7 linked regions of the Nothobranchius furzeri genome follow. The protein of the gene in region 3 interacts with the protein of the main gene of each other region in a pairwise test. Links are inferred from orthologs where the notes say so. Each region holds a gene or a part of one and is shown on either strand. Other genes may lie near its edges. The genes, in order: nme7, ntaq1, golga2, washc3, ras-related protein Rab-39B, ncf2 and arpc3.

What was found.
Region 1: the proteins of golga2 (region 3) and nme7 interact in binary tests that used the Homo sapiens proteins (3 or more experiments, as listed by UniProt). The two-hybrid records come from large-scale screens. The link is inferred for Nothobranchius furzeri from reciprocal best matches to the Homo sapiens genes GOLGA2 and NME7.
Region 2: the proteins of golga2 (region 3) and ntaq1 interact in binary tests that used the Homo sapiens proteins (3 or more experiments, as listed by UniProt). The two-hybrid records come from large-scale screens. The link is inferred for Nothobranchius furzeri from reciprocal best matches to the Homo sapiens genes GOLGA2 and NTAQ1.
Region 4: the proteins of golga2 (region 3) and washc3 interact in binary tests that used the Homo sapiens proteins (3 or more experiments, as listed by UniProt). The two-hybrid records come from large-scale screens. The link is inferred for Nothobranchius furzeri from reciprocal best matches to the Homo sapiens genes GOLGA2 and WASHC3.
Region 5: the proteins of golga2 (region 3) and ras-related protein Rab-39B interact in binary tests that used the Homo sapiens proteins (3 or more experiments, as listed by UniProt). The two-hybrid records come from large-scale screens. The link is inferred for Nothobranchius furzeri from reciprocal best matches to the Homo sapiens genes GOLGA2 and RAB39B.
Region 6: the proteins of golga2 (region 3) and ncf2 interact in binary tests that used the Homo sapiens proteins (3 or more experiments, as listed by UniProt). The two-hybrid records come from large-scale screens. The link is inferred for Nothobranchius furzeri from reciprocal best matches to the Homo sapiens genes GOLGA2 and NCF2.
Region 7: the proteins of golga2 (region 3) and arpc3 interact in binary tests that used the Homo sapiens proteins (3 or more experiments, as listed by UniProt). The two-hybrid records come from large-scale screens. The link is inferred for Nothobranchius furzeri from reciprocal best matches to the Homo sapiens genes GOLGA2 and ARPC3.

Annotation. Positions count from the first base shown.
Region 1 is NC_091756.1:61,686,881-61,690,722, reverse strand, and holds part of nme7 (nucleoside diphosphate kinase homolog 7), read left to right. Parts: intron 1-269; coding exon 270-320; intron 321-462; coding exon 463-670; intron 671-777; coding exon 778-883; intron 884-3,494; coding exon 3,495-3,559; intron 3,560-3,842. UniProt on the Homo sapiens protein: Possesses an intrinsic kinase activity. Displays 3'-5' exonuclease activity with a preference for single-stranded DNA. Does not seem to have nucleoside diphosphate kinase activity.
Region 2 is NC_091759.1:9,346,659-9,350,441, reverse strand, and holds ntaq1 (protein N-terminal glutamine amidohydrolase), read right to left. Parts: upstream 2,468-3,783; 5' UTR 2,374-2,467; coding exon 2,309-2,373; intron 2,120-2,308; coding exon 2,020-2,119; intron 1,809-2,019; coding exon 1,758-1,808; intron 1,676-1,757; coding exon 1,527-1,675; intron 1,457-1,526; coding exon 1,332-1,456; intron 1,244-1,331; coding exon 1,101-1,243; 3' UTR 773-1,100; downstream 1-772. Other genes in the region: ribosome biogenesis protein bop1, read right to left, coding at 3,422-3,575, 3,662-3,769. UniProt on the Homo sapiens protein: Mediates the side-chain deamidation of N-terminal glutamine residues to glutamate, an important step in N-end rule pathway of protein degradation.
Region 3 is NC_091746.1:54,866,958-54,869,608, forward strand, and holds part of golga2 (golgin subfamily A member 2), read right to left. Parts: intron 2,342-2,651; coding exon 2,155-2,341; intron 1,006-2,154; coding exon 737-1,005; 3' UTR 1-736. UniProt on the Homo sapiens protein: Peripheral membrane component of the cis-Golgi stack that acts as a membrane skeleton that maintains the structure of the Golgi apparatus, and as a vesicle thether that facilitates vesicle fusion to the Golgi membrane.
Region 4 is NC_091741.1:43,372,071-43,376,431, forward strand, and holds the start of washc3 (WASH complex subunit 3), read right to left. Parts: upstream 3,069-4,361; 5' UTR 2,934-3,068; coding exon 2,883-2,933; intron 1,387-2,882; coding exon 1,288-1,386; intron 1,186-1,287; coding exon 1,120-1,185; intron 1,048-1,119; coding exon 910-1,047; intron 1-909. Other genes in the region: uncharacterized protein, read left to right, coding at 3,411-3,444, 4,165-4,361. UniProt on the Homo sapiens protein: Acts as a component of the WASH core complex that functions as a nucleation-promoting factor (NPF) at the surface of endosomes, where it recruits and activates the Arp2/3 complex to induce actin polymerization, playing a key role in the fission of tubules that serve as transport intermediates during endosome sorting.
Region 5 is NC_091742.1:80,053,137-80,057,579, reverse strand, and holds the start of ras-related protein Rab-39B, read right to left. Parts: upstream 2,887-4,443; 5' UTR 2,652-2,886; intron 2,575-2,651; 5' UTR 1,971-2,574; intron 1-1,970. UniProt on the Homo sapiens protein: The small GTPases Rab are key regulators of intracellular membrane trafficking, from the formation of transport vesicles to their fusion with membranes.
Region 6 is NC_091747.1:36,775,684-36,780,009, forward strand, and holds the start of ncf2 (neutrophil cytosol factor 2), read right to left. Parts: upstream 2,930-4,326; 5' UTR 2,908-2,929; coding exon 2,734-2,907; intron 2,402-2,733; coding exon 2,319-2,401; intron 2,245-2,318; coding exon 2,136-2,244; intron 1,907-2,135; coding exon 1,772-1,906; intron 1-1,771. Other genes in the region: garem (GRB2-associated and regulator of MAPK protein 1), read left to right, coding at 4,157-4,277. UniProt on the Homo sapiens protein: Subunit of the phagocyte NADPH oxidase complex that mediates the transfer of electrons from cytosolic NADPH to O2 to produce the superoxide anion (O2(-)).
Region 7 is NC_091746.1:47,862,081-47,866,565, reverse strand, and holds the start of arpc3 (actin-related protein 2/3 complex subunit 3), read right to left. Parts: upstream 3,030-4,485; 5' UTR 2,915-3,029; coding exon 2,909-2,914; intron 2,564-2,908; coding exon 2,464-2,563; intron 2,107-2,463; coding exon 2,030-2,106; intron 1,058-2,029; coding exon 989-1,057; intron 714-988; coding exon 587-713; intron 1-586. Other genes in the region: gpn3 (GPN-loop GTPase 3), read right to left, coding at 3,359-3,424, 3,519-3,647, 3,735-3,831, 3,960-4,075, 4,173-4,297, 4,423-4,485. UniProt on the Homo sapiens protein: Component of the Arp2/3 complex, a multiprotein complex that mediates actin polymerization upon stimulation by nucleation-promoting factor (NPF).

The sequences.
Region 1 (3,842 bases), on a different chromosome or scaffold from region 3:
TTTTTATAATTTCAGCTTTATTTGGATACACAATGTCCCGTCCAGTTGTGCAGCGCTTTGTGCTAATCTTGTCTGTGAACGGCGCTCTGGAAAATACTTTTGAGTTATTACTAAAATGTTCTTTTTTCTGCTGTTATTGTTTTTTCCAAAGCAAATCACCGCTATCACTAAACTCTGTTAATAACAGTCATCTGGCCAACAGACATGTGAGAAGTGCTGCATCATTTGGTCACCCATTGACTTTGGTGGATGGTTTTGTTGCTTTACAGGAGCCAAGCGGAAGACTTTTACGTGGAACATCAGTCAAAGCCTTTCTTCAGGTGAGTGCTCGTGTAAATGATCTCCCAGTTCTGAGCAGAGAAGGGTTGTGATTGCCATCTAGCACTCCGACCACAACCTGTGATGGTGACATTTTAGAGTTTTTTAAATTCAAATCAGCTCCAACGTGACTCTGTTTTGCAGTGCGCTGGTGCACTTCATGTCCTCTGGGCCAGTGGTTGCCATGGAGCTGGTGGGTGACAAGGCCCTGTCGATCTGGAGGGAGCTCCTGGGACCTGCAGACTCTGCTGTGGCGTTAACAGAGGCGCCACAGAGCATCCGTGCACAGTTTGGAACAGACGCCATCAAAAATGTGGCCCATGGCTCTGACTCCATAGCTGTAGCAGCAAGAGTGAGGATTTTGACTTTGTTCTCGCTCTCTTGTGCCTTCAGTAGTCTGAGAATCGCACTTCCTGGAACGGTCATGATCATTAAAGTTTGTGTGTTTGTTTTTGTAAGGAGCTGGAATTCTTTTTTCCTTCCACGGTCGGCCATGGCCCCTCCAACACAGCCCTGTTCACAGACTGCACTTGTTGTATCATCAAACCCCACGCTGTATCAGCAGGTAAGGAGTCACTCAGGCATGGCAAAATATCTCACTTTTATTTGTATTTTGTTATTTTGAGTTCCTGTGCTGCTGGCTTGTTTCCCCCCCCCCTCCCCAACAAAGCCACCATGTGGTTTCCAAAATGGCCTTGGATTTTTCCAAATCCCAGTGCTGATCCCTGCTCCCGGGGCATGCCACCAGAGCTCTGAGCTGTGAAATGTGAAATTCTGTGCAGAGCTGATGTTTGCACACAGAAAGCTGTTGACTGGAGGTGGACCCCAGCTTTTGTTCTGCACTTACAGCAGAGAACATACAGTAATAACTACAGATCCACTAATATCTTGTTGTATCTTGAGTTTCATCATTTCTCTGGTATCTGACTGTCTTTATGTTTCAGTTTGAGCCAGCGTGACATTATATTGCACATACATGTATAAATTCATGTACCCTTGCATTTACGATGGAAACGCTCTCAATGGTCCCTGAAATAAACTTAAAGGGATTTTCCACCCCTAAGTGAAATTGAGTTTATTGCTGTATTCCCCAGAGTCAGAAAAGTCAGAAAAAAAAACCGACAAAATGATTCATTATAAAGGTTTTGTGAAAGCAAGGCTTATTTCCGTCCACTGCCTCTGGGCGATAATAAAGCCATGGTGTATCTGTGCACCGCTGCTCTCTGGCCTGCCTTCATGCTGCACCTAAACAGAACAGATCGCCCACTTTTGTTATTTCTGCAGTTACAGCCACGCTTAGCCTGCTAGGGCACGTTCAAATCTTTGGCTTGAGAAAGGAGGCGGTGAGAGAGAATACAAGTGGGCATGCTTTGTTTGTCTGCAAGGCACCGTTGAGCAACAGTTAAGCTTGCAACGAGCCGCGGTGATAAACCAGCTCGGTCCGAACGCATGGATTTCAACATTTGCTCAGTGAATACCGGTGGTTGTTGGCTGTGTTAATCATTCCTGACAGGTCACAGTGATAGTGCTCTGTGCTCGTATATAAACTTTTTATCAAACCCCGGCGTTTTCAAATGAAGGTTTCCTTCATTAGGGGGTCCAAATAAATTTAAAAAAAGTAGTTTTATGTGGAACAATAATTGCTCCCCATGTTACGTCCTGATTTATTTGTGATTAAACATATTTGTAGAGCTGGGGTGAGTTTCACCAGCCACACCCAGGCCTGCTTACTGCCACTAACTTCAACAGAACCTGTCCAACAACATGAAGTAGGCTAAAAGATCTCCATGCTCTGGTCTAAAGAACCCAACATCACCAAAGCACTGCAGACCTCATTAAGGTCAGAGGTCATGAATCAACCATGGCGACAGAGAGGTTCTACTGACCGTAATAATCCATAAGACTCATCTCACATTACATTTAGTGTAAAACTAACACTTCATTTCAGTGAAGTATCCTCATTCCAACAGTGAAGCATGGTGATGGTGGTATGATGGTCTGGGGCAGTTTTGCTGCTGCAGGACCTGGGCCACTTCCTGTAAATGATGGAACCATGAACGCTGATCCGTAGCAGAACATATCTTAAACAATGTCTCGCTTAAGCTGATGTGTTTGATGTGCTACAAGAAGTTTGGCGCTTCTTAAAACAGTTCAGTTAAAACGAATCAGTTATCTCTCAGAAAGTGTGGCATTGTTAAAACTTCAAAGCTCCTACTCAGGCGTCAGTTTCACTGCTAGAAGTGACTCCCACACTGTTTACCTTCAGAGCCGTGATATATTTGGTCCGAGCCAAGAATAGAAACCAGGCTGAATGATTTGTCCAGCTGAGGTCGACAAAAAGCTCTGCTCTGATCTCCCCTCAGAAATCTCTTCAGTAGCTCATTTATGTCGTCAAGACGGCCTGTCACCGTGGCCATGAAGGACGCTGTGAGTGAAAATTCACTCAGACATGACCGGAATAGAGAAGCTTCTGTTGCCAGGCTCCTGGAATAGTATCTCCTAGCAACAGCAGCAGCTGCTTTGTGGCGCTGCGAGGAGTGTGTGGAACCTGTGCAGTCCTGGGGAGGGCACAAAGGACTCAGGCTATTACCTAGTGCACATAACTGGACTGTGACGTAGGGAGGGAGAGATCCACAGACGGCGGCTACGCCTGGTTCCTATTGAACGTCTGCGCTGCAGCATTTAGAGTTAATGAAAACCGTCCTGGGTGACAGGTACACAAGCTACTTTTTATCAGACTGAGATTACGAGACTGGCGCCTTGATTCAATTGTGTGTCTGCAGCAGTCTGACCTTCAGAGTCACTGCAGCTGCACCACTTCTACAGCAAAGACCCAGCTCTTTGATGGGATGTACAGTTCACTATCTCGTTTCCTAAAAGGTTGCCTGGACAAAAATGCTTTCCCTCGATAGACAACACATCAGCGAGACTATCTCACTCTGTCCAGAGGACAGACTGAGGTCAGTGCACTGAGATGTACCGCTGATGTCTGAGCAGAAGCACGTTCAGTAGTGATGCATCCGGACTTCACGATAGTCAGATGCTTCACTGCAGCAGTGGATTCAGGTGTTATTTGATCTGGACGACATCTGAGATTGCTGCAGCACTAAAATACCGTGTTTGTCCTTCTGTGTAAACTCGGCTCATAAAGACTGATGAGCATCATGTGTTCACAGGGCTGACTGGGAAGATTCTTAACTCCATATCTGCAGCTGGATTTGAGATCTCAGCTCTTGGAATGGTGATTATTATTTTTCTGTGTTTGTTTCACATGAAATGAGTAAGGTCTGTAAACTCTAGCGCTTTAACAGCGACTCTTCATGCTTCCCACAGATCGATGCTGTAGAACTAACAAGCTGCTCAGTGTTACTGTGAAAGGGTTAGGGTCCATTAGGTGGAATAAAATCCCTTCATTTCAGTCTGTTGTAACAAATGGTTAATGGCCTGTATTTATACACCACTTTCTAGGGTACGACACAGCTTTTATTCACACACACACACACACACACACACACACACACACA
Region 2 (3,783 bases), on a different chromosome or scaffold from region 3:
TCCAGGAGCCGTCTGAGGAGAATCCCAGAATCTCATATCCTCTTCAGCTCAGAAAGCACCTATGATTACGCACAAGCGTGACGCGTCAACCCGGTCTCACAGTAAGACCGGGTTGGAACTGTTCAGGTTTACGCAGACAATCTTTACATTTAGAATTGGCATACAGATGTAAAATGTATGCAGTAAAATATAAAGCATTTTATTTAAATATCCATTCATTATTTTACAAGCACAGAGAGCCGCATCAGATGGATGGAAGAGCCACATGCGGCTCCAGAGCCGCTGGTTGCCGACCCCCGTCCTGGTCAGAGTTGTTGTTGTCGCTCATGTTTGTTCTAAAGAGATGTGCATTTCTCAAAGGGACAAAGAACTCAAAAGAAAATAATCTTAAAGATTGTTTGATTGATAAAATAAAACAGGTTGCTTACTTTATCTGGATGTTGCTGTCCTGAGCTTCTTCCAGAAAAGAATTTGAAACCAAACATGCCTGATCCTCCTGTTTAAACCAGTGTCCTAACCACTCCTGCCATACTGAACACAAACATATGACAGGTGAAAGTGATTGCACAAGTTCCACCAGTCATCTATAACGGTAAATAGAACTTATACCCAAACACAAATCTGCTGTTAACTAGAATCTGCATAATTTCACCAAGTTTTAATTGTTAAAATATTCTGGAAACCAAGATTCAAATTGACACCAAAAGTTACAATTATACATTTAATTTTTATTCTATCATTGCGCTACAGAGACAGAGAATCCAACGCGATCAAAGATTAAATAAAATCTTTTTATTTCTCAGGAACTCAGGTGAAATCAAGGTGCTGATGCTCAAAGTTCTCACAGGCGTGTGTGATGAAGGATCACTTCAGTTTCCAGATGAATCTGTGACATGGCTGAAGCGCTGTCGTCGTCATGTTTCTGGTTTCCTCTGAGCTTCAGAGGCCAAGGTGAAACTCAAGAGAGGTCAAACGAGATGCAGCTCAGCCCAAAACATAAAGTTCAGTTCAATGTTTGTCTCAGTCTCTCAATCATTTCAGATTAAATGTTCATAATAACATAAAAGCTAATCACAAAACAGCAGCTGCCAGGATGCTGATCAGGATTGAGCTGATGATGAAGATGAAGAGGTGGTGGAGGAGCAACCTAAGTATTTCTGTAGAAACTGATTCAGACTGAAAACTGTCCCCCAGCCAACAGCTGGGCTCATGCTGATGAAGTCATCCAGGTTCATCTGACACCCTGAAGAGGAAATGCACCAAAAGTACAAAATCACCTTTTCCTAAGACAGGAATCAGAAAACATGCTCCACATTAACTTGATTTGTTACCAGTGGTCTTTAAAGGGGGGTAAGAGGGAGGGGGCTTCTTCCAGCTCCCATCAGGGTTCTTCATGTGAGTTCGATCAGACGCAAAGTTCAAGAGGAAGCTCTCAGCAGGAATCACACGCAACTTCCTGTCACAGATATGAGAAGGTGTTGGTGATTTCACTCCAGTGCATTACCTGTGTAATTCAGCAGTGCTACCTGTGATATTCAGGTTTGATGTGGTGGTCTGAGCGGAGGGCCTGGCTGCCATAAAGCCTCAGATTGCATGGGAATGACAGCTCTGTGTCCAGATCATAAACCAGAACCTCCGACTGAGGATCCACATGAAGCAGGATCACATGGTAGTCCTAAAACACCCAAAAAAACATGATTAACAATGTATTATTTTAATGCTCTGAGGCCACTTTAACAGGAAGGAGAATCATAGACCCAGATCACTGGATGGTCAGCGTGTCCAGACTTCTGCTTCCACAGAGGAACCTGAAGGAGAACAAATAACATCACTGATCAGCAGCAGCAGCAGAAGTCAGATCTTAGTGAAAATGTTGATTCTTTATACAAACTTGGCAAATTTAAGGGGATTCGTGATGATTTGTTAAACTTTAGACCTGTTGAGACTAAATCTGTTGAGTTAAATATGTTTAAAGGGTTTTGTAACACATGACAAACTTCTCAGAGCTGATCTTCTCACCATTCTGTTGTCATTAGAGATGAAAACCACAAAGAGCTGTTCCAGTGGAGCAGTCCTCGCTGTTTGAACAAACTCACACAACTTCCACACATTCTCCTCACTGCAAAGCAAATTAAGACATCACTAATCAAACAGCAAAAATAATCTAATAATAATAAAATCATATCCATAAGAATGTAGCAGCTACCATTTAAGCCAACTGCGTTTTGCTACAAAATTTGATGAATAATTATGTAAAACCCAACAAACTGGAGTTTTTTTTAATCATGATGTAACAGAATGGATTTACCAGTAACAGCTGGTGTAAACACAGAACTCACGACTCGGTGTGATTCGATCCTTTACTGCCTTCATGGTTCGGTGTTACACCGAAACCGCTCCGACGGTGTCACTTCGAAATGTGTCCCCATGGTTGAAAACTCTTGTCACATCAACTTCATTATAAAGAAAATTGTTTGTTTTTTGCTACAAAATTTGACGAATAATTATGTAAAACCCAACAAACTGAAGTTTTTTTCATGATGTAACAGAATGGATTTACCAGTAACAGAACTCGCGGTTCGGTGTTACACCGAAACCGCTCCGACGGTGTCACTTCGAAATGTGTCCCCATGGTTGAAAACTCTTGTCACACCAACTTCATTATAAAGAAAATTGTTTGTAGTAAATATTCTAAGAACATTTTGCAGACCCTGGTACCCGAATATTTTCGTTAAACATAGTTCCCGCTTGTGTTCAGCACAACTGATACATAAAGAAAGCTGATATTCTTAGAGATTTTATTCTTAAGAGAGGCCTTTAACCTGGTTAAACAACAGATACAACAAATATTCCCAGGCCTGCGCAGTCGTGCATTTACATGGTTATTACAAATACTTTTACTATTAGAAACAAGCTTTGTACAAAATACCCAAAAACTTGGTTCAAGTTAAAAATATCCATAATGATGAAATTTGAAGCACAAATACTTTATATTTGGGATAGTCCTAATTTCTGCCTCTGGCAACAAAACAAACAAACAAAAAAAAAAAACCTTTAGAGCTGTAATTATGTTGATAATTTTAGATAATTTTATTTCCTTTTTGAAAGCTGTAATAAATGGTCTTGTTTTTCAAAAAGGTAACCGCAACACAAACTCCTTTAAAATGAAGGCAGACAAATAAAACTACATTTTGTAGGTTTTAAAAAAAGAATCAATAATTCTCCTAGTTTTAACATACAGAGACAAATTGTAAGAACAATATATTTTATTGAAAACAATAAAATACATTTTATTGAAAACAATAAAATAAACTACAGAAAACAAAACAAAAAAAAAAGAAGAAGGTATCCTGGTAATCAGTCCATTAGGGAGGTCAGACTCCTCCCACACACACACAGAGCTGCTGCTGGTTAAAACACTTTAGGTGAAGAGCCGGATGGTGGCGTCAGCTCCTGAGGAAAAGACCCACGGCTGAGTGGGGTGAAAGATCACGTCCAGAACACCAAGATCGTGGGTGATCACATGACCTCTGAGAACTTTTACAGGTACTATCAGCGGGTTCTGAAGCAGGTCGCTGGAAGAGACGGCGGCAAGTTTTAATATCCTGTCTTTTATAAGTCTTGTTATGAATAGATTTTCAGGGTGTGTTTGTGGTCTTACTTGTAAACAGTCCCGTGACAGACGATCACCGATCCATCATCAGACGCCGAGGCAAACAGAGGGTAACCTCTGTGATAGGCCACACCCCTCACTGCTTTCTTATGGTGTCTGAAGGAAAGAAG
Region 3 (2,651 bases):
GCTGTTCTCAGTCTCAAGCAGATGTTTAAAACACCACGAAACAAAAACACTTCACAGCTATGAACGGTAGATGTAGAAAGGCCAGTTATTTTCAGTGTTGGACACAAAACAAAAATAAAAAATGAACATGGTGGTTTTTGAACCACCGGCGCCCTCGTCTCTGCCTGAACTTGACTGAGTAACTTCATCCAGCTCTGACCTAGCTTCACCAGTCTGCGTTCATTAGTTAGGCCAGCCGTACTGACGTCCCATCTCTGCACCGTCCTCTTCACATTTCTCTCCCTCTCTCACACACACACACACACGTAAATATCAGGGTTAATACATTCAGTTGTGGTGCTGCTCTTTGGCATGTGTGCAGTGAGGAAAGAAACATTTGCGTGTAAAAAAAGTCACTAATTTAAAGTTCTTTACAGTTCTTTAGGGACTGTACCAGCGAGGGGACCAACTGACGCCCTGTTTTATTGCACATTTGTGTGAGATGGGTGACACGAATTCAAAATTCGAGATTAATCAATTTGCATTTAAGAAGAATGATTAACTCACATAAAAAATAATTAAAAAAAACAAAAGGGATGATAACAAAAAGGGGCGACTCAACGTAACTTGGACACATTTTTCCTAAATCTGACCAGTTTTAAGGAGTCAAACTCTGTAAGGAGCATTTGTAAATCTGATCAAGAGGCTACAAATGTGGTAAACTGTAGGGGTTAACATCTCAGGACATGTCCACAGCTCACACCACCAGGACCTTGACTTCATCCTGCTCGTCAGGCCGATAAAAGAACGGGATGCAAGGGTTCTCTCCTAGGAAGTGGGGTGACCTCTGAGCCCCCTGTGGGTTCTGGATCTCCTGGAGGAGCTGCATGATTTGCCAGGCTGTGCCATCCTCCTTTGGCCCCAGTGGTTTGGATTCAGTCTGAACAAGTCCACGTGATAGCGTCTGGGATGATGAAGCTTCAAGACCATTGGGAGGCTCAGACAGCGGGATGACCTCCATGGCTTCTGTGGAAAAGAAAAACTAGTGAACCTCTGCAAATATATAGAAGAAATTCACAATCTGTCTGAAAATGACAATGTGTTGTTGTTACAAGAGCACCTGAGCAAAAGCATCACGTTTTCTGTCACTTTAATACAGACAAAATTATTGGACCATTTTGTAAAGGGTCAGTTTAAAGATTCCATTCACCAAATTTGCCTTTTTGAAGCCTGAATTAATCAAAAATTAAATGAGAACCACTAGAAATCTAAGAACGTCTCACCAACCTTCTCAGAGGCCTAGAGGTAGAGTGTCTGATAGGGCTGGGCGATATGGTCTAAAATCAGTATCACGATATAGTGAGGATTTAACCTCGATAACGATAAATGGACGATAACTACAGGTATGCACAGAAACAAAAGTTGTCCTCTATGTTTATGTTTATTTATTTGGCAGACGCTTTTATCCAAAGCGACGTACAATTTTTAACTTGTAGGTCATGCTGTGATCTGTAGGGGAAACCGGAGTGCCTGGAAGAAACCCACGCATGCATGGGGAGAACACGCAACTCCACGCAAAAAGGCCAGGGCCGAGTTTCGAACCTGCAACCTTCTTGCTGCCAGGCAAGAGTGCTAACAACTGCTCCACCATGCAGCCCACTAGATGGGGCTGTCACATGTATTATGTTGAATCACATTTTTATGTGACTCAAGGTGGTATAGCATCTGAAATGGACATGAACGTTGCCAACCTACACAAATTTTCATTGTTTTATTATCAAATTTATTGACATGGGAAAATTTATCTCGATAAGAGTCAGAAATTTCGATAAGGATAAATTTTCGATTTATTGCCCAGCCCTAAGAGATCGTGGTTCTAGTAGAGTTGGGTCGTACCAAAGACTTTAAAAATAGGACCCAATACCTCCCTGCTTGACACTCAGCTTTGCGGGGTTGGATTGGGGGGGGGGGGGGGGGTTAAACCACCAAATAGTTCCTGAGCGCAGCCACAGCTACAGCTCACCGCTCCTCAAGGGAATGGGTCAAACGCAGAGATGAATTTCATCAGTGTGTGATAACTAATTGGACTTTTACTTTAACAGTGCCACTAAAAAGAGAAACGAAGCTGAAATTGCAGCGCTCAGTTAGTGATTTAGTGCATCTACTAGTGCTCACCGTCTCCACTGACGGCGTGAACCTCAGATCCTGTTTGGTGCTCTGAAAGAGAGTGGTCCTGTCCAACAGGAAGCAGGTCTGGGTTGACCGCCCCCATGTTGGCTACAGCTCCAGCGTAGCGGTTGTACCAGTCGTTCCTCTCAGCCACCAGCCTCATGACCAGATCCTGCAGCTCTGCTAGTTTGACCTAATAGATCAGAGGTAAGCATCAGTGAACAGGAAACACTACATTTAATTCTAAAACTGTTAAAATAAACCAAGCTTTAATGAGAAATTTAGGCTGCACAGTATCAATCTAAATAAAGACATTTAATAAAATGTTCAATTCATCGCATGAGTTTCATAGTTAATACGTGATTATTATCAAATTAATTGCAAATTATAAATGTAGGTAACATGATAAAGTTCATGCTTCTCATGTTTTAGAAATTTATTTTACTTTTCTTTTTGTTTTATGTTCCTTTATTATCGTTTACAGCATATTATACAACAAGCAT
Region 4 (4,361 bases), on a different chromosome or scaffold from region 3:
CTCCGACTGCTTTGAGCATGTACATGACACAAGAATTTCCCTCGGGATAAATAAAGTTGTTCTTATCTTATCTTATCTTCTATGATCAGGTGTCTCACAGCTAAAAATACTTCCAAAATGGACGTGGACAGTGGATCGCTGAATAACGTGCAGCGTCATTGTGCAAACATGACATACATCTCATCACAAATGGCGCAAGCCTGTCTTGTTTGCACAGTAACGATGGGAATTAATCAGCGAGACCCAATCTATACTTCAGTTTAAGTCTGACCACTTTGGTGTAAAGAGGAGTTCATGTTTGACTCAGTCACTGCAGAAATAAGCCCAAATCATCAGCCCCCTGCCACCGTGCTTTACAGAGGACAGGAGGTGTTTGAGCTGACCTGGTGCACTGTTTTAACCAAAAGTGATGGCTTGTTTACTGACCTCGGCCTGAACTCTGTGCTGCAGACTCAGGAAATCTGCCCTGAAGGTTTTCCACCTTTCTCACTGTAAATATGTAACGTCACACTTCTGGATAGGATTTTACAATCCTGTCAGAGTGTGAGGAGGACAATCAAAATCCAATCCGATCACTATGCAAACAAAGCAGCCAGTAACAAACATACTTCTTTGAAGGTTCTCAAAACTAAAAGTCTATCCTTTACAACAGGAGGGGAATGTTGAGCCTTTTTTGTACGTAAACTCCAAAAGAAAACAAAACAACAGTTGCGTTGACGGCAGGTTTCTACTTGTTGCATCGACCAAAGAGCTGATGACAATCTACATTCCGACTTAAAAAGAAAAGTTCAACTGCCGATTTTTGGCATCACAGACTCCCAAACAAGAAAAAAGACACAAAGACTGTTTTGGCATTCATCGTGGCCGATTGAACCTGCATGTCTGTTGCAGGTGGGTCTGAACTCCTACCTCTGAGGAAGAAGGTGGTCCTGCTGCTACACCGTTAGTTAGGTTCTGACCGATAGTACTGGGTCCTTTAGTGTGGGAGGCCTGCTGTTGGTTGAGGCCCTCTACTGTGACGTCCTCCAGTCCAGGAATAGAGGACAGCTGCTCAGAACAATGTCACTGCATAAGTGAAAAGACAACATCCAGAAACGGTATCAAGGTCTCACAAGTTACCTTAGCCTCTAAAATGCTGAGTGTGGTTTCAATCTGCTGTATGCGAAGAGAAATGTTTGCAAGTTTCTGTGAAGAGAAGTAAAAAAAATAAATAAATACATAATTTGAGTTCATATTCTGAGGCAGAAGAAGCATTAAGGAGTAAAAAACAAACAAACAAACACAAACCTCTTCACACACGGTGGAAAACTGGTTAAGAAATCGTACGGTGTGCACAACAAACTGGTTGAGAAATCCAACGATTCGTCTCTGCTGTATTGCAGGAACCTGAGAAAAGATAAAAGCAGTATAATTAAAAACTTACCAAGTGTTACTATAGTTTATTTTACTAAACATAAACCTCTAGTATAATTGATTTTTGAATGTTATGGCTTTAAATAATATTGAGGGGATTCTAAAATGACTTTTAACTACTGCTGTTAAAATGTTTTTTGTAAATCTTTATTGAAACAAAGCAGTACAAAACAACAATTAACACCAGGGAGAATAAACAACATCTACATAAACAGACCAGGGTCATGTGTTAGCAGTGTTATTTAAACAACACAATAACATACAGTAACCTGTGGATTATTGCAAAGTTTCAAGTATTTGAGAGAATTTTAAAAGCAGCTGAGTTCTACCTTTAAAGTCTTGCATCAAACAAAATGCTAATGGCAAAAAGAATGATGAAAACTATCAAATCTGATTTTCTGTGTTGGGTAGTTACTAATTATATTTACTTGAGTATTTTTAGGAAAAAGAAATGCAACATTTTAATTAAGTCTTTACATTATATAATTTATCATATAACATTATACTATTATCTGTTTGAATGGATTTTATAAATTAAAGGAGCTGTTATGATTACTCATTATTTGAGCAGCTTTTTTGCAAACACAGTTTTTGTACTTTTTTTTAACTACTCAAGTAAACATATATGAAAGTAATGCTACTCTTATTTGAGTATAATCTCTGGCTACTCTACCCACATGTCTGACTTTGCATATAATGGATGCAAATCGGTGTGGAGGAAAAACATTTGGAATAACAGACTACTGTATATCAGGTGTTGTGCCGAAAAGAGCACGCCTACCGAAATGTGTATCCCCGTCGAAAGACGCAAATTGAAGAAGAATTTGAATTATGAGCAATTCAGAATTTGAACACGTTTCTAATCCGTGTTTCTCCTGAAAAGATTTTGTTTTTGACTACAAATATGATGAAATAATGATTAAATAATTGACCTTTTTCAACACGTTTGACACTAATGTTTTAGCAAGTATTAAACAATTTTGTTGGTTTAAAAAAGCAGACTCAAAATGACTAACCTTTTATATGTGCATTATATTACTTAAAATAAAACATGTTATAAACAGTAGTTTATTTTACTTATTTGCTCATAAACCATCATTTTGTAAGGAAGGATGCAGCTCATGTTGTACACATTTATTAAAAAGCGGTCTCATACGCGCCTTCCCGCAGGGGATGCACATTTTCGCAGACAAGCTCTTTTCGGCACAACACCGGTAATAGAATCTAATGAATGATGTATTCAAATAGAACATCAGTGTTCGGAGAGAAAACGTTCTTTCCTCTTTTGATACTTCTTTAGAACAAACCAAAAGGAAAATGACTAGGCAAACAGTTACAAGTAGGTGAAATTAGTTAGAAAAAGGCCACAGTTTTCTCTGCATTAGTGATTATATATTTTGTTAAAAAGCACAAACATAGCTTTGGGTTCTCAGGTTTTCAGTGTTAGCTAACCAGTTAGAAACACAAACCTTCGTAAGATCGACTCCTGACCCGACTAACGGCAGGCCGTCCTCGTCCATGTTAGCGTTTTACACTTCCTGTGAATAGGAATGTGGTTTCAGGTCTAATGGCACGAAATTTGAAAGAAAAAATGACATGAAACAAAACATTTACACCGTTGAAGGCTTCACGTGACACTGAGCAGTGTGACTGGCTACGTGATTACGTCACTCTAGGAAAAGGAAATGATTAACTTTTATTTTGAAGAGGCATCAATGCACTCGAATTCACACTTTTATATTTCGAGCTGTCGAAATTTTCTAAACTTTTTCTTTATCTAGTCATTGGCTTTGAAGTAAAAAAGAACTTGAAAATAATAGCATTCTGAAATTCATTAGAAAACACCAAAACACGTCTTTCAGACATATATTTTGAAAAGCGGAAACTTGAGTGAATACTTGAGGAAGCGATGCTTGCGCTCTAATAGCGCATTAGCCACCAAAACAAACAGCACAAATATACACAGATTCCTCAAATTCACTTGGTGGGATGCTTTAATGGAAGTTGTGGAATCAAAAGAAAAAATGGAGGGTATGTATGTTACCAGTTTGCCTTTCTGATATTTTCTGGAGACGTGTTTGTTTTACTATCAGTGGGCTCTGTCTATTTAAAGGAACCACAATGTTCATTATTTGGCAGACTGTTGTTGTTGCGCAGTGGAAGTTAGCTTGCTGTTAAATGTACAGACACTCTTACGCGATATATTGTTTTAACTAAGTTGCGAAGCTTTTGAGTAACATCTGTGGACATTTTCCAGATTGTGTATCTAAAATGTTAAAGATCTGTCCAGGATTTTCTCCAGTTCAAAAGCCTGTAGCTCAAATTCAATTCAAGTTTATTTATACAGCGCCAAATCACGACAAGAGTCGTCTCGAGGCACTTCACATAGTTAACATTCCAATACAGGTCAGTTCATTAAGCCAATCAGGAAAAAAAGTTTCCTATATAAGGAACCCAGCAAACTGCATCCAGTCACTGACTGGTCTCAGTGACTTTAGCAAGCAAGCAAGCAAATGACAGACAACAATGTAACAGATCACGTGATTGTTTTATTGCTTGATTGTTTTTAATTATCTGTATGAAGCCAATAACTGTTTCAGTTATGTGTAAAATGTGAGAACTTTGCAAAATCACATCGTGAAAATTTTATCCACCTGCTGTTTCCTGCAAGTACTCTGAATGCTCTCTGAATTAGGGGGTGTGTTACTGCCCTCCATCGGTCATTTCTGACTTTACACATTAATGTTTCAGACCCAAACTTCCCTTTGCCCTCCTTTCGCCTCCTGGTGCCTCCCTTGCATCTTCTGTCTGCTGCTATGTGGAATCTGATGAAGGGGAAAGATGTGATGAACTATGGGAAGCTGCAGGAGTTTGTGTCCATGCTGACAGAAGCAGTTCCTGGTTTGATCAACCACAGACAGAGAGCGCATCTCCTTCTCGGATTGAAG
Region 5 (4,443 bases), on a different chromosome or scaffold from region 3:
GTTGCAAATGAAGCGCTCCTCCCAAAGTGTTGCCAACTTGGCGACTTTGACGCTGTTTCTAACAGCTTTTCAGACCCGCTTCTTGACTTTTTAAATCTTAAAAGTACCTAGCGAACACCTCAGAAACATCTCTGGTAACCCTTAGCTACTTTCTGGATAACTGTCGTTGTCGACGTTTCCTGCAGGTTAGCTAAACACTCCGCCTGCGCTCCGGACCTTTCTTCAGGACATTAGGAAAGGGAATGATGTAGTGAAGTGTCAGTCACTAAAGAAACAGCTCTCGGAGCCGGCTCCCTGTTGGAGTAACCAAAGTGAGTGACACACACACCGCACCTGCGGACTCCTGAGCCACTAAAAACGGCTAAATGTGCGGTGCGCTAAACACACGTACAGCTTGCCCCAATTGCTGTGAGACCGGGTGGGGGGTGCAGCTGTGGTTGGGACAATTATTACATTAACTGATGGACGACTTGTAAATAAATAGTTTATAAATAAGGTAGAAATAACTTCCTCACGCTGATAAATAACTAATCTCTCTGAGGACACGGTGCTAGTGTACTCTCCTACAGCACATTGACACGACTCAATAAATGTTATGCAACATTTTGTGAACATCAATTTTTTTGCATTTATTTGTTATAAATGCCACTGTATAATTCTTGCTGTCAGTATTTGCAAGATATTGGTATTTGGGTCTGTACTGGTTAGACTTGAATGAGTTAAACCAAGGTCTATAGCCCTTGGGTCATAGACTATGAGCTACAAGTATATTGGTCTTTTTTTACTGGGAATCAGGAGTTATTTTAGTGATCATCTTGTTTCTTATTTATTTTTGTCCTGATTGTGCCCTGAGCAATTTTATGACTGAATAAAAACAAATAAAATCAACATAAATTGAAAAATCGTCCTAAATAATCGAGATCTCAATTTCAGTCACCATAATCGTGATTATTATTTTTGCCATAATCGAGCAGCCCTAGCCACAGCTGCAGCTCACCGCTCCCCACGGGGATGGGTCAAAAGCAGAGATGTAATTTCACCAGTGTGTGATGATGACTAATGGGACTTTAACTTAACCACCTGAACTGCAGAATTATCTGGTGATTTTGTGACCTCGCAAAACCAGATGTGTGGAACGCTTTTGCAGCCATTTTGCATCTTAATTGCTACCTGTGGCAAGGGAGCGTGGAAATAAAACGTGTCTATTACATTATGTACCGCTTAACATCAGGATTTAATTAATGATGGGCAACATTGTCATTACAAAACTCTACAAAATCACGGTTAATATTTATGGAGGAATGCGGGAAAACGTGCTACCAGATTTTTAATATGAATTTTTTCAACACAGTTAGTCGTGATGTGACGCTTTAAAAGCGCTGTGGTTTTGGGGAGTGAGTGTCAGTAGGTCGGCTGTTCTGAGTGTGTGCCGGGTCTACAAATACAATATGGCAGTACAAGTAAGCAGTGTATTTTTACACATTTTTGATCAATGGAACCAGGACAAGACGCTTCACCAACTAATACTATGTGCTTATGGTTTAACGTTGAACAAAAAATAATAATAATAGTGACATATCAGAGTTTAAAAAACATATTGACGTACTAACTGAGGATTAATGTTTACATGCTGGAAAGTAATTTTACATGAATTATAATTATTATTCTAATTATTAAGAAGTCTATCATTTTTAAAATAGAAGTGTGGTATAATTATGTCCTATAACGGCTTGCCACATATTTGAGTAAACAATGTTTGTTTGTTTTTAGATGATCGTGCGTTTAGTGAATCAAAGGTGATTTTAACAGCAACATTTCCCAAAATCCACGGTCCTGTTGATGATTAACTATCAGTTAAAACACTTTTTCATTAACTAGTCCAAGTACGGTAATTTAATCTTTGAAAATGGTTGACAAAGTTAACTCGTGTGCTGCTGAACCGATTGAAAGGTTAGTATTAGAAGACAGACCTGATTGTGAGGAGACGGAGCCTGTTTAAAGCAAGAGAGGACTTCGCTTTAGGCCCTGGTTGTTGCTCTTCTTTACGCCGATCAGGACCTGGATGAGGCCGGCTCCATGGCTCCGACTAGTCTGGCTGGATCGATGCTCGGGGTGCAGCGAGATCACGGCGTCAAAAAATAAACGATAAAAGCAAAACACTCGATGTTTAACCTGAAACTCGAACACAAAACAGATGTAGCCAAAGCAGGGCCCCGGAGTCAAGGGCTAATTGTGTCCCAGTGCCAGGCCCGCTGAAGAAAAAACGCATTCAGAGCAGGTGCAGCTTTAAAAACACACCGGATTTCACTCTCACGTGCTTCCCGAGTCCGTTGTTCTTCTTTTCGGCAGCTGTTTCTGCCTGGACCCGTCGGACGTGGAGAAAGGAGGGGGAATCCCACCGTATCACTTCTGTGTTTGCTGAGTGTTTGTAGCTTTTGGCTGCTGATGAAATGGCAGCGGGAGGAGCAGCATCATATAGCCTGACTCATCCCGCATCAGTACCACTACTACCGTAAAGGAGCGAGCACGGCCGCAACGAGAAACTCCGAACACTTCCTTAACTGCGAAACGGAGCTAAAAAAAATACACAGACGTGTTTATATGTTATCCAGCGTCACATAAACAGACAAATGATATGTTTGTTTTCTGACCATAAAACTCTCGACATATCAGCAGTGACAGTGCAAATGTAGCTAGATCACGTGGCTAATATTTAGCCTCTTAAACTTGCTACAATAAGCCTCACAGTGGATGACATTCTAAATAAACATGTTATCCAACAACGAGTTTAAAATCTGAACGCTTTTAAACGTGTTTGAAGCGTTTATTTTTCTTAGGAGAGTCGAACAACAGCCAGGAAGTTGCACAATCTGTCCCTGAGCTGTAGCTGCAGTGCGCAGTCGCGGAAGTGGTCACCGTTCGCGCTATTGCCAGCGGGAATTGTAGTCTTATATACATGCAAGCAGAAAAAACGTGTTAAGTTGTTTAATGGCCTAAAAAAACTCCTATTGTGAGTTTATGTGTTTGACAAATAATAATAAAAAATTATTTATTTTTGCGTTAATTAAAAGTTATTGGTTTGGTGGAGCAGTGGTTAGCGCTGTTGCCTTGCAGCAGGAAGGTCTTGAGATCTCATCCCAGCCTGGGATCTTTCTGCATGGAGTTTGCATGTTTTTCCTGTGTGTGTGTGTAGGTTCTCCAGCTTCCTCCCACAGTCCAAAAACATGACTGTCACGTTAATTGGTCTGTCTAAATTATCCTTAGATGTGTGTGTGTGCATGGTTGTTTGTCCTGTGTGTCTCTGTGTTGCCCTGCGATGGACTGGCAATCTGTCCATGTACCCCACTTGTTTGCCCGTTGACTGCTGGAGATAGGCACCAGCCCCCCGTGACCCTGCATGGAGAAAATGCATGAGAAAATTGATGGTTTGGTGTGGCCTTTGTTTAACCCCAGCCTCCCCCCATAAAGAGACGCCTCTTGAAATTACACAAACTGCCCATCTGAAAAATAGCTTTCAGACTTACAGATGATCAAATAAATATGACAAATAGGACAAAAATGAAAGGGGGAAAATAAGTAAATAAAAAAATTGTACCCAGGAAAGGTTTGTGTGTAAAAAAATGCTATACTTGTGGCCTCTTGTATGTTACTTTGCAGTCATTTATTATTAAAAAAAAAACAAATGTACTCCACTGTGTGTGTGTGTGTGTGTTTTGGAAAAAAAAGAATCACTTTAAAACAGAAATAAACTGGTCATTCAGAAGCATCAAAATATTTTTGCCTTTTTCATATCATTTTAACAGTCTGTTGAATGAAATGTTGATGAAAAGTTTTGATATTTAAAACATTTTTCTTAAAAATAACATCTCAAGCTAAGATTAGATGTTTAACTAAATTAATAAAATATGTTGACAGGTGGGTGGATTAAATGAGGTCATTGCTGTTTGCCCTGCATGACATATTGATCTGAAACATTGGCCAACATATTTTTGAAGTGTTTAGAAAATGTGAGCAAGTAAAAGATTAGTTAATAGTTAATCTAGTGCATTGTTTTGTGATCGGAGCACGTCATTAAGTTCCATCTGTAACTTTAATTCTGTTCCATCAACGAAGGAATGTTTTTCAAACAACAAGACACTTCATCAATTTAAACTAGGTTAACAGATTTAATCAATCTAAACCAGCTCGACTCAAACAGAGGGTTGTTAACATTTAGAATTAGGATGAATTCCTCCCAAGAGTGGCATCAATAATCAGATCGGTCAAACCAAAACAGATGGTACAAGGTATTTTAATCCAGTCAAGATAAAGTAATCATGTTTTTTGATTTTATGGCAGATCTTGCGTGTGTGTGTGTGTGTGTGTGTGTGTGTGTGTGTGTGTGTGTGTGTGTGTGTGTGTGTGTGTGTGTGTTTATTAGCACAATTTCTGATGAACCCCAAA
Region 6 (4,326 bases), on a different chromosome or scaffold from region 3:
AGAAGATTCACTTACAGTGGGGCAAAAAAGTATTTAGTCAGCCACCGATTGTGCAAGTTCTCCCACTTAAAATGATGACAGAGGTCAGTAATTTTCATCATAGGTACACTTCAACTGTGAGAGACAGAATGTGAAAAAAAAATCTATGAATTCACATGGCAGGATTTTTAAAGAATTTATTTGTAAATCAGGGTGGAAAATAAGCATTTGGTCGCTTCAAACAAGGAAAATCTCTGGCTCTCACAGACCTGTAACGTCTTCTTTAAGAAGCTTTTCTGTCCTCCACTCGTTACCTGTATTAATGGCACCTGTTTGAACTCATTATCTGTATAAAAGACACCTGTCCACAGCCTCAAATAGTCAGACTCCAAACTCCACTATGGCCAATACCAAAGAGCTTTCGAAGGACACAAGGAAAAGAATCGTAGACCTGCACCAGACTGGGAAGAGTGAATCTACAATAGGCAAGCAGCTTGGTGTGAAAAAATCAACTGTGGGAGCAATTATCAGAAAACGGAAGACATACAAGACCACTGATAATCTCCCTCGATCTGGGGCTCCACGCAAGATCTCATCCCGTGGGGTCAAAATGATCATGAGAACGGTGAGCAAGAATCCCAGAACCACACGGGGGGGGGGGGGGGGGGGGGGACCTGGTGAATGACCTGCAGAGAGCTGGGACCACAGTAACAAAGGTCACCATCAGTAACACACTACAACGGCAGGGAATCAAATCCTGCAGTGCCAGACGTGTTCCGCTGCTGAAGCCATTGCATGTCCAGGCACGTCTGAAGTTTACCAGAGAGCACATGGATGATACAGCAGAGGATTGGGAGAATGTCATGTGGTCAGATGAAACCAAAGTAGAACTTTTTGGTATAAACTCAACTCGCCGTGTTTGGAGGAAGAAGAATACTGAGTTGCATCCCAAGAACACCATTCCTACTGTGAAGCATGGGGGTGGGAACATCATGCTTTGGGGCTGTTTTTCTGCTAAGGGGACAGGACGACTGATCCGTGTTAAGGACAGAATGAATGGGGCCATGTATCGTGAGATTCTGAGACAAAACCTCCTTCCATCAGTGAGAGCTTTGAAGATGAAACGTGGCTGGGTCTTCCAACACGACAATGATCCCAAACACACCGCCCGGGCAACAAAGGAGTGGCTCCGTAAGAAGCATTTGAAAGTCCTGGAGTGGCCTAGCCAGTCTCCAGACCTCAACCCCATAGAAAATCTGTGGAGGGAGTTGAAAGTCCGTGTTGCTCGGCGACAGCCCCAAAACATCACTGCTCTCGAGAAGATCTGCATGGAGGAATGGGCCAAAATACCAGCTACTGTGTGTGCAAACCTGGTAAAGACCTATAGTAATCGTTTGACCTCTGTTATTGCCAACAAAGGTTATGTTACAAAGTATTGAGTTGAATTTTTGTTATTGACCAAATATTTATTTTCCACCCTGATTTACAAATAAATTATTTTAAAATCCTGCCATGAGAATTCATGGATTTTTTTTCACATTCTGTCTCTCACAGGTGAAGTGTACCTATGATGAAAATTACTGACCTCTGTCATCATTTTAAGTGGGAGAACTTGCACAATCGGTGGCTGACTAAATACTTTTTTGCCCCACTGTATCTTCTTCCTTCCAAAACCCAAATAGCCAACACCTATGCTGATAAAATGTTGATTTCTAAACATATGTGGATGTGTGTAATTGAATTATATTAATGAAGTGTAACCGTATTTTATGAGAGGATGATCGTAACTGACCAGGGTTGACTGCAGAGCCCTGTCGATGAGGCTGAGCTTGGCATCTGTCTTGTAGTCCAGTGCCTTGACCAGGTTTTCCTGGGCCTTTTCCCAGCTACCCAGCTTAGCTTCAGCCAGGGCAAGATTGTGGAGAACCTGAAGCAGGAGGTGTCGACGTGACACTGAGTTAGGAGCTTTTCAGTCACACCGTCTTATCAGGTTTATTTGAAGCCCTCATATTGAAAACTGAATTAGGAAGAGCTGAGGCTTCAACGGTTTCCTCTTTGCAAGAATATATAAATCACATTGAAAATGAGGAATTACCATCATCAGCCAGCTTTATTTTAACCTCAGATTTCTGACGGACAGTAGAGCTAAAGCTCACCTCACAGGCATATAGGATGTATCTGAGACCTAGTGCTTTGTAATCGATCAGCTGGTTACCCCTCAGAGCTTTAAAGGCTCTCTGGAAATCAGCTGAACTCTCCTCATACCTGTGACCAAGACAAGTAAAGGTAATAATTATTACACATAAGGCAAGTTTTATAAAACATTTGATGTAATTTACCTTTTCTTTTTGTAAAATGTCATTCCCCTCTGAAAGAAGGCAACTGCCAAATGCTCATCCTTGCGAATGCTGCAGTCAAACGCCTGAGAAATAACAGGTAAGAAAATAACTTCCTCTAAAGGAGCAGAAAGCCGGTGACACCACTTCTTCTTTCACTGTGACTTGCACTTTCAGAAACCTCTATAGGGAGCCTAAGTCACGTCCTTCCGGACCATGGGTCCTCAGCTGCCAAGAAAATTGAAATTGAATATTTTCTGATCCTGTTTGATCTGTTCAGGGGACCCGTGAGCCAACCGGAGGGCTCCTTATATCTGACACGTTTCATCTCAGCCTTGCCAAATAAATCCAGATGATTTTACTTTCTTACGTGCACAGACTTGCAGATTTGATTTAAAATAAAGTAGATCTAACGTACCTTTTCAGCATCATCCAAGTCTTGGTTCAGAAGATGAAGGCAACCAATGTCAAAGTAAATTTTGGAATTTGGTTCTTGAATGGATAAGAAAATGCAGAGGGCTTCTGACCATTCCTGTCTGTCGGCACAAGTTACAGCTTTGTCCCACTGCCGCAGAGTGTCCACATAAGACATGTTTGTTGGCTTACCAGCACACTGATTCTACATTGAGGAAGTTCTTCTTATTTGTACCAGTGAAACTGGGAAGTGTGATGACAGCTGTTACGATTTACAAATGCATCACAATCAGCTCTAAGTGCTAAAGCCACATTTAAATTATTTTCTCCCGTTCAGTGCAATAATTGCACTCTAACTTACTGCTGATGTACCAAACAATTTGCACATTGTGTCCAGGAAATATGTATATTTTTATATCTACTTTTTCAGATGGTCTTGTGTTTATTTTTTATCTGGTATGTCAAATGCTCTATTTGAGTTCCATCAATATTAGCCTACAGTTAACAAAAGCTTTATGATTTAGATTCTAGAGATTTTCTATCTTTGAATAAATTGTGGGTTTAAATGTGTGTGTGTGTGTGTGTGTGTGTGTGTGTGTGTGTGTGTGTGTGTGTGTGTGTGTGTGTGTGTGTTTAGCTCTAAACTAACGTTGGCATTTTATAAGCAGAAAAGCTTGAGATGCATAATGAAAAATGTTTCACATCTAATTGATTTCTAGTATTTTTTAAATAATTATTTTTTAACTTTATTTTGTAAATTTACAAACAAACATGGCACTTTGACAATGTTAAATCCAAAACTCAAATTGATTTCCAGTGTTGTAACGACCTTAACTTTGATGACATTCAGACATTTTTACTGAAATAAGTAATGTTCAGATTATTGTTTGTTCTTCTTTAATAATTCTAAATTTATTGAGCTGCAATATTTATTTAGTAAATATATGATGTGTTTTTGTGCCAAATGCACAAAAACAACTTCCGGGTTTTTCCTTTCAAAATAAATTTCTTGTGACATGACTATAATCACAAAATACTGGTGCGTTTTCTTACAACACTAACATCATATTATAAATGTGTATTTATATATTCTCAAGGAATTCAACGATTTCGCCTTTCAATAATAACGTATCTTCTTTACTTGAATGTATAAAATGCTCTTATTTTGATAGAGTAAAAACGTTTATCCGTTAGCTCATCGCTAGCTAAACAAACATGGCTCTACTACACTTTCGGAGTACGAACCTTTATGATGCGTAGAACAAATGAAAATTGGAGCTATGTAAGGATTAACAAGAAATAAGTCATGTTTGGTATGACTGTTTAGATTAAGTTGCTATATTATTTGTGTTGGTAGCTCGGAGCACCCTTTTGTGTCCGTATTTACACACAGCTAGCTCCAGAGTTGGCTAATGTGAGCTAACAAGATGGACCTTGGAACAATGTTGTACAATAATTTGAAAGATGTTACTTGGAGCTCAACGTCTTTACCTTTGGATCAGCTTGTCAGTGCATATAAAATGCCCCAAATCGTCAAACTGGACAGCGGTTAGTAACTTTGTTATTATGCATTTAAAGCAGTCATCTTTGCGCTAAA
Region 7 (4,485 bases), about 7.0 Mb from region 3:
GATGTCTGTTGTCCCTCGGGATTGCTGCAGGAGGACACGGGTATTTATGAGAGGCAAACGAAATAAAGTAAATAAATGTTTTGTGATCAGTATAATTTACATAATCACGGCAAACATGCTTTCTTGACAATCCTTTTTATTGTGTGAGAAAAAAAGTGTAGAAATTAAAACGGACGTGTGTTAATGGGGAAACAGCTGGCGAGCCATGTTTGCGCATGCGCCGTGAGCGGTTCTGGTGCTGTTTGGGTCGCAGCCGCTCACATTTGTTTACTGTGAAGTGAAGTTGAAGTGCTGAAGTTCTGAAAACTAATTTTGAATAAAACTTGAATAACTGGTAATTGCTTGCTCATTTTAAGAGGCCGCTCATATTTTATAACAGGCTATTTGATATAATGGTTTACAAACACAAAAGAGTAATTTATTAGAGTACTCAATCGATAAGATTCGATAGAGTACTCAATTATAAAAATATTCGATAGCTGCAGCCCTAATCCAACCTTTATGCTTTTTTCTTCCTTCTAAAACAAGCTCAGACAGACAGAAGTACAGCTTTATGTTTAGTTGATCGTTTAATGCCATCGCTCACCTTCCTCCTGCTTGTTTGAGGGCTTCACATACATGGCATTAAGAGGGAAGCCAGGCTCTCCAGGGATGGGGAAATTTGTGATGCCTAGAGTGTACATCTCCTTCTCTCCTTGATTCCTGGAGCTGCACTGCAAGGATTAAAGCAAAAAATGTTCAGTGAAACCCATTTTACATGCCCTAGATTAGAAATGATTATAAATTAATAAATCACACATGTGCTTCTTTCTAGAAGCACACTTTATGCACCAAAACCCAGCTATTGAGCTCTCTGGTTTCCAGGCCCGACTGAGACGCTTCTACTTTCAAACAAGCATTTTAAATGCTACCACTAAACATTTTCACCCATCGAATACAACAGCTGTTAACACTGTACACTTTAATGATACAGATGTTATAAACTCACCTTCTGTAGCTTCTTCAGACACTCAGAAATGTAGAGTGTGATGTAGATCAGGGTCCTGTCTGCCTCATTCTGAAAAAAATATAACGCACTTTTAAGTGATTTAGTTTAAAGCAGTCATGTTTCCCTACAGCATTAATGCTAATGTTACAAAAGGCTTAAATCCAGGGCAGCTATGATGAAGAAACCGTGTTGAGTGGAGTGGAAGAAGCGAGCCCCAACATGTGATGGAATACGAAGTGCATAGCTGCTCTGAGACGGAAGGTGGGAAAGACAGAACATGCACAAAGGCAAGTTTTTATTTAAACATCTTTTATCTGATGAACTCCAGGTGAATTTTACAAGCAATTATAATCTGAAAAATCTTAAAACAAGCTTATGAAATCTCTTTGTAAATATTTTATGTTCTAGATAAAAACACCATGCATAAAAAGTTTGTGATTTTTAATAGGGGTAAACTCATATTTACAATGTTTTAATACATAAATCTTTATAATCCAATATACTTCTTTAGTAGCACTGATTTGAGAACAGGCACATCCACGGGCAGCCTGGTGCAGCTGCCAAATTTTATATAAATTTATATTTATGTTTCTGAAAAGACACCTGTTCAAAAAATGCTCTCAATTTTAGGTTGACATAATTTTTTTTGTTAATGTCTTGCTATCTACCCACACCATCTTTAAGATCGACTGGTAGACCGCAATAAATGTACTGAACACCCCTGCTCTAAAACATTACTGTCACTCCACCAGTTTTACATTTTAAACGATCAGATTATTGGTTTGTTTGTTAGATTAACTTTTAATAAATCATTGTTTTAACAAAAACCAGTGCACAAAATTAATATTCAACTGTTGGGTATATTCAGAGTTCAAAAACTGGTTCAGGTTCAGAAAAGATTTGCAGTAACTGTTATTAGTGACATTTTAGCATGCTGATAAGGTGAAAAATATCTAGATATCAGCCAGAAAAACTGGCTGATCATGACTCCTACATATGAGCATCGGTAAGAACGCACACCGGCCGACCTTTAATTCTTACCTTGATTTCATAATTCTTAAAGAAGACGTTGGCTTTGAAGTAGTAGATCGCTTCTTCAATAATATCAGAATCTAGCCCTGCAAGTTTAAAAAGAAAAAAGAAAATTTTCAATACAGACCAATGCCCTGAGTGTAAAATGTCATGTTTAGTTCATTTGTGTCTTCATTGTTTGTACAAAAGAATTTTGGTGGTTGGTTGAAACAAATCATACATCTTGTTGCAAATAATACATGCATGGGTTCCAGAAATAACAACATAGGTTGATGATGCATTCTTCAGCCCATATAAGGAAGTGAAGCTGACTCGTTTGAGGAACTGAATGACAGCCAAAACTCTGCACAGAACTGGTCAAGTTCTTGACATTTTCATGCATCTGTTACCCGGAAACAGAACGCGTTAGTGGAGACAATTACAGAATTATGATGCTTACTTACCGTCTCCTCTGGCTGGTCCTTTAAATTGAGTTTTAACGGGGAGCAAGGCCATGTTCCCCACTAGCCTTGTATCGGGGATCATCAAGCTTGAATGATACGCCTAAATAAAATCCAGAAAAAAGCAGCTGTCAGATCTGTTCAGATTCTATACGGCGATAGCGCTAGCGACGACCGTACGTTTCACTCATTTACATTCAAGAAGCTAGGGATAATTTCATGATAAACTTAATATCCTCAAAAGGAACATTTAGTGGAATATTGACAATTTTAAGTAATTTTACGAGTAGGTTTCTACCGAATGCTAACGAGCCTAGCTAACTATGCCACAGATGTCCGTCTTCACAGCTAACGTAAAATAAAGACAGTTTCATGACACAATTCTGGCTTCATAAATCAATAAAAACAAATAGCTGTCGTCAACAGCTATCGCAAAGTATATACTCACCGGCATGTTGAATGAAAGATATCAATCCAACTGCTCAGCAAGACAAATATCCGTGCACCCCCAGACGCTGCTTCCGCCTTTCCCACCCTGTAGCTTTACCGGAAGTGAACACGTGTCGTGTGACATAGCGGCCACTGGGGGGTGCTGAAAACAATCTCGTCACAGAAAAGTGCACATTGTGTAATGTTTTATTTAAAAAATATAACATTAGTACATCTATTTAACAACACTTCAGGTTTTTATTTTTAATTTGTCAAATGAAAATAAATCTTGAGTTGTATAAATAATAAAAACAGAAAATAATATTTTAAACATAAAAGACTAGTCCAAAGTCAGTTTTATTTAGCTATTGTCCATTTCCTCTTTTGATATGAAGCTCTCCAGCTGAACTTCATCTAAAACCTGCATGCACATGCTGTTTTCCCAGCTGACACACGATCACAATACTCTTCAACAGACAACTTTGTTTTGAAACAGCTCATCGTAGTTTAAATTTGCTGGTTCTTCATCAACTTCCTGATGGAGAAGAAAACCATATTTTATTTAGTTTTAATAAATAATAAAGATTTGCATTATAATTAGATTTGTGTTAATATGGTTGTTTCTTCACCTTAGGCTCCTTGAATTCCAGGTCCTCTCCATACTGAATGGAAAAGTCGATGTGCTGCATGACTATGTTAATGCCTTCCTCATCTGTGCGGTCAAAAGGCAAGAATCTGACCATACTGTAGTCATCTATCTATATATAAAAATAAAATAAAAAACAGAAAAAATATGTCAGTTTACCATTAAAAAATGTTTCTAAATCTAATAAATGACATCATACCAAACCACAAATAGCTTTGGTAAGCTTCTTGAACTTTTGGCTTCTGAAAGTGTCAGAATTATCCTCCATCATAGAGTACATGTCGGGGTCCAGGTACCTTGTAAAAATACACAACTGCCTTAAAGATTTACCAATTATAAACAGTTTATGGAAAGCAAAACTGATGTTGCATGTTAACTTCTCTGGCACTACATACTTTTTTTGCTTTAACCATGCAAAACTTACTTTTCTATTTCTTTCTTTGCTTTGGGGCTGAGCAGATCCATCTTTGTCATGACGTTTACTTGAGGAATTTCTAATGACACCATGGCACTCAGGGCAGCCATGACCCCAGATATAAACTACAGTTGAAACACGTAAAAGATGAGCGCACCTTAGTTTAAAACAACTTGCGCTAAAGAAAATGACACAAACATAAAAGAACAGATATATGGTTACCTTAAATGACTCCACCATGAACTGTGAGTCGACTAAAAACACCCCACACACCCGAAACTCCCACTGCTGGAGCTGCTCCACCAGTTGTCTCATCACAGGGACGTGTGTGTAAAGTTCAATCTGACCTGTTTAAAGTAAAAACAACACAAAGCTTCAAACTTATGTAATTTAAAAAGGACTTACCTTTAGATCAATTAGACCAAACTTAACAGCCAATACTAAAGTTATGTTTGTTAAACAGATTACTCACCTGGGCAGTCAAACAGAATATAGTCATCTTCCACATGGCCCAGACTTTCCTCCAGCCAGTCAA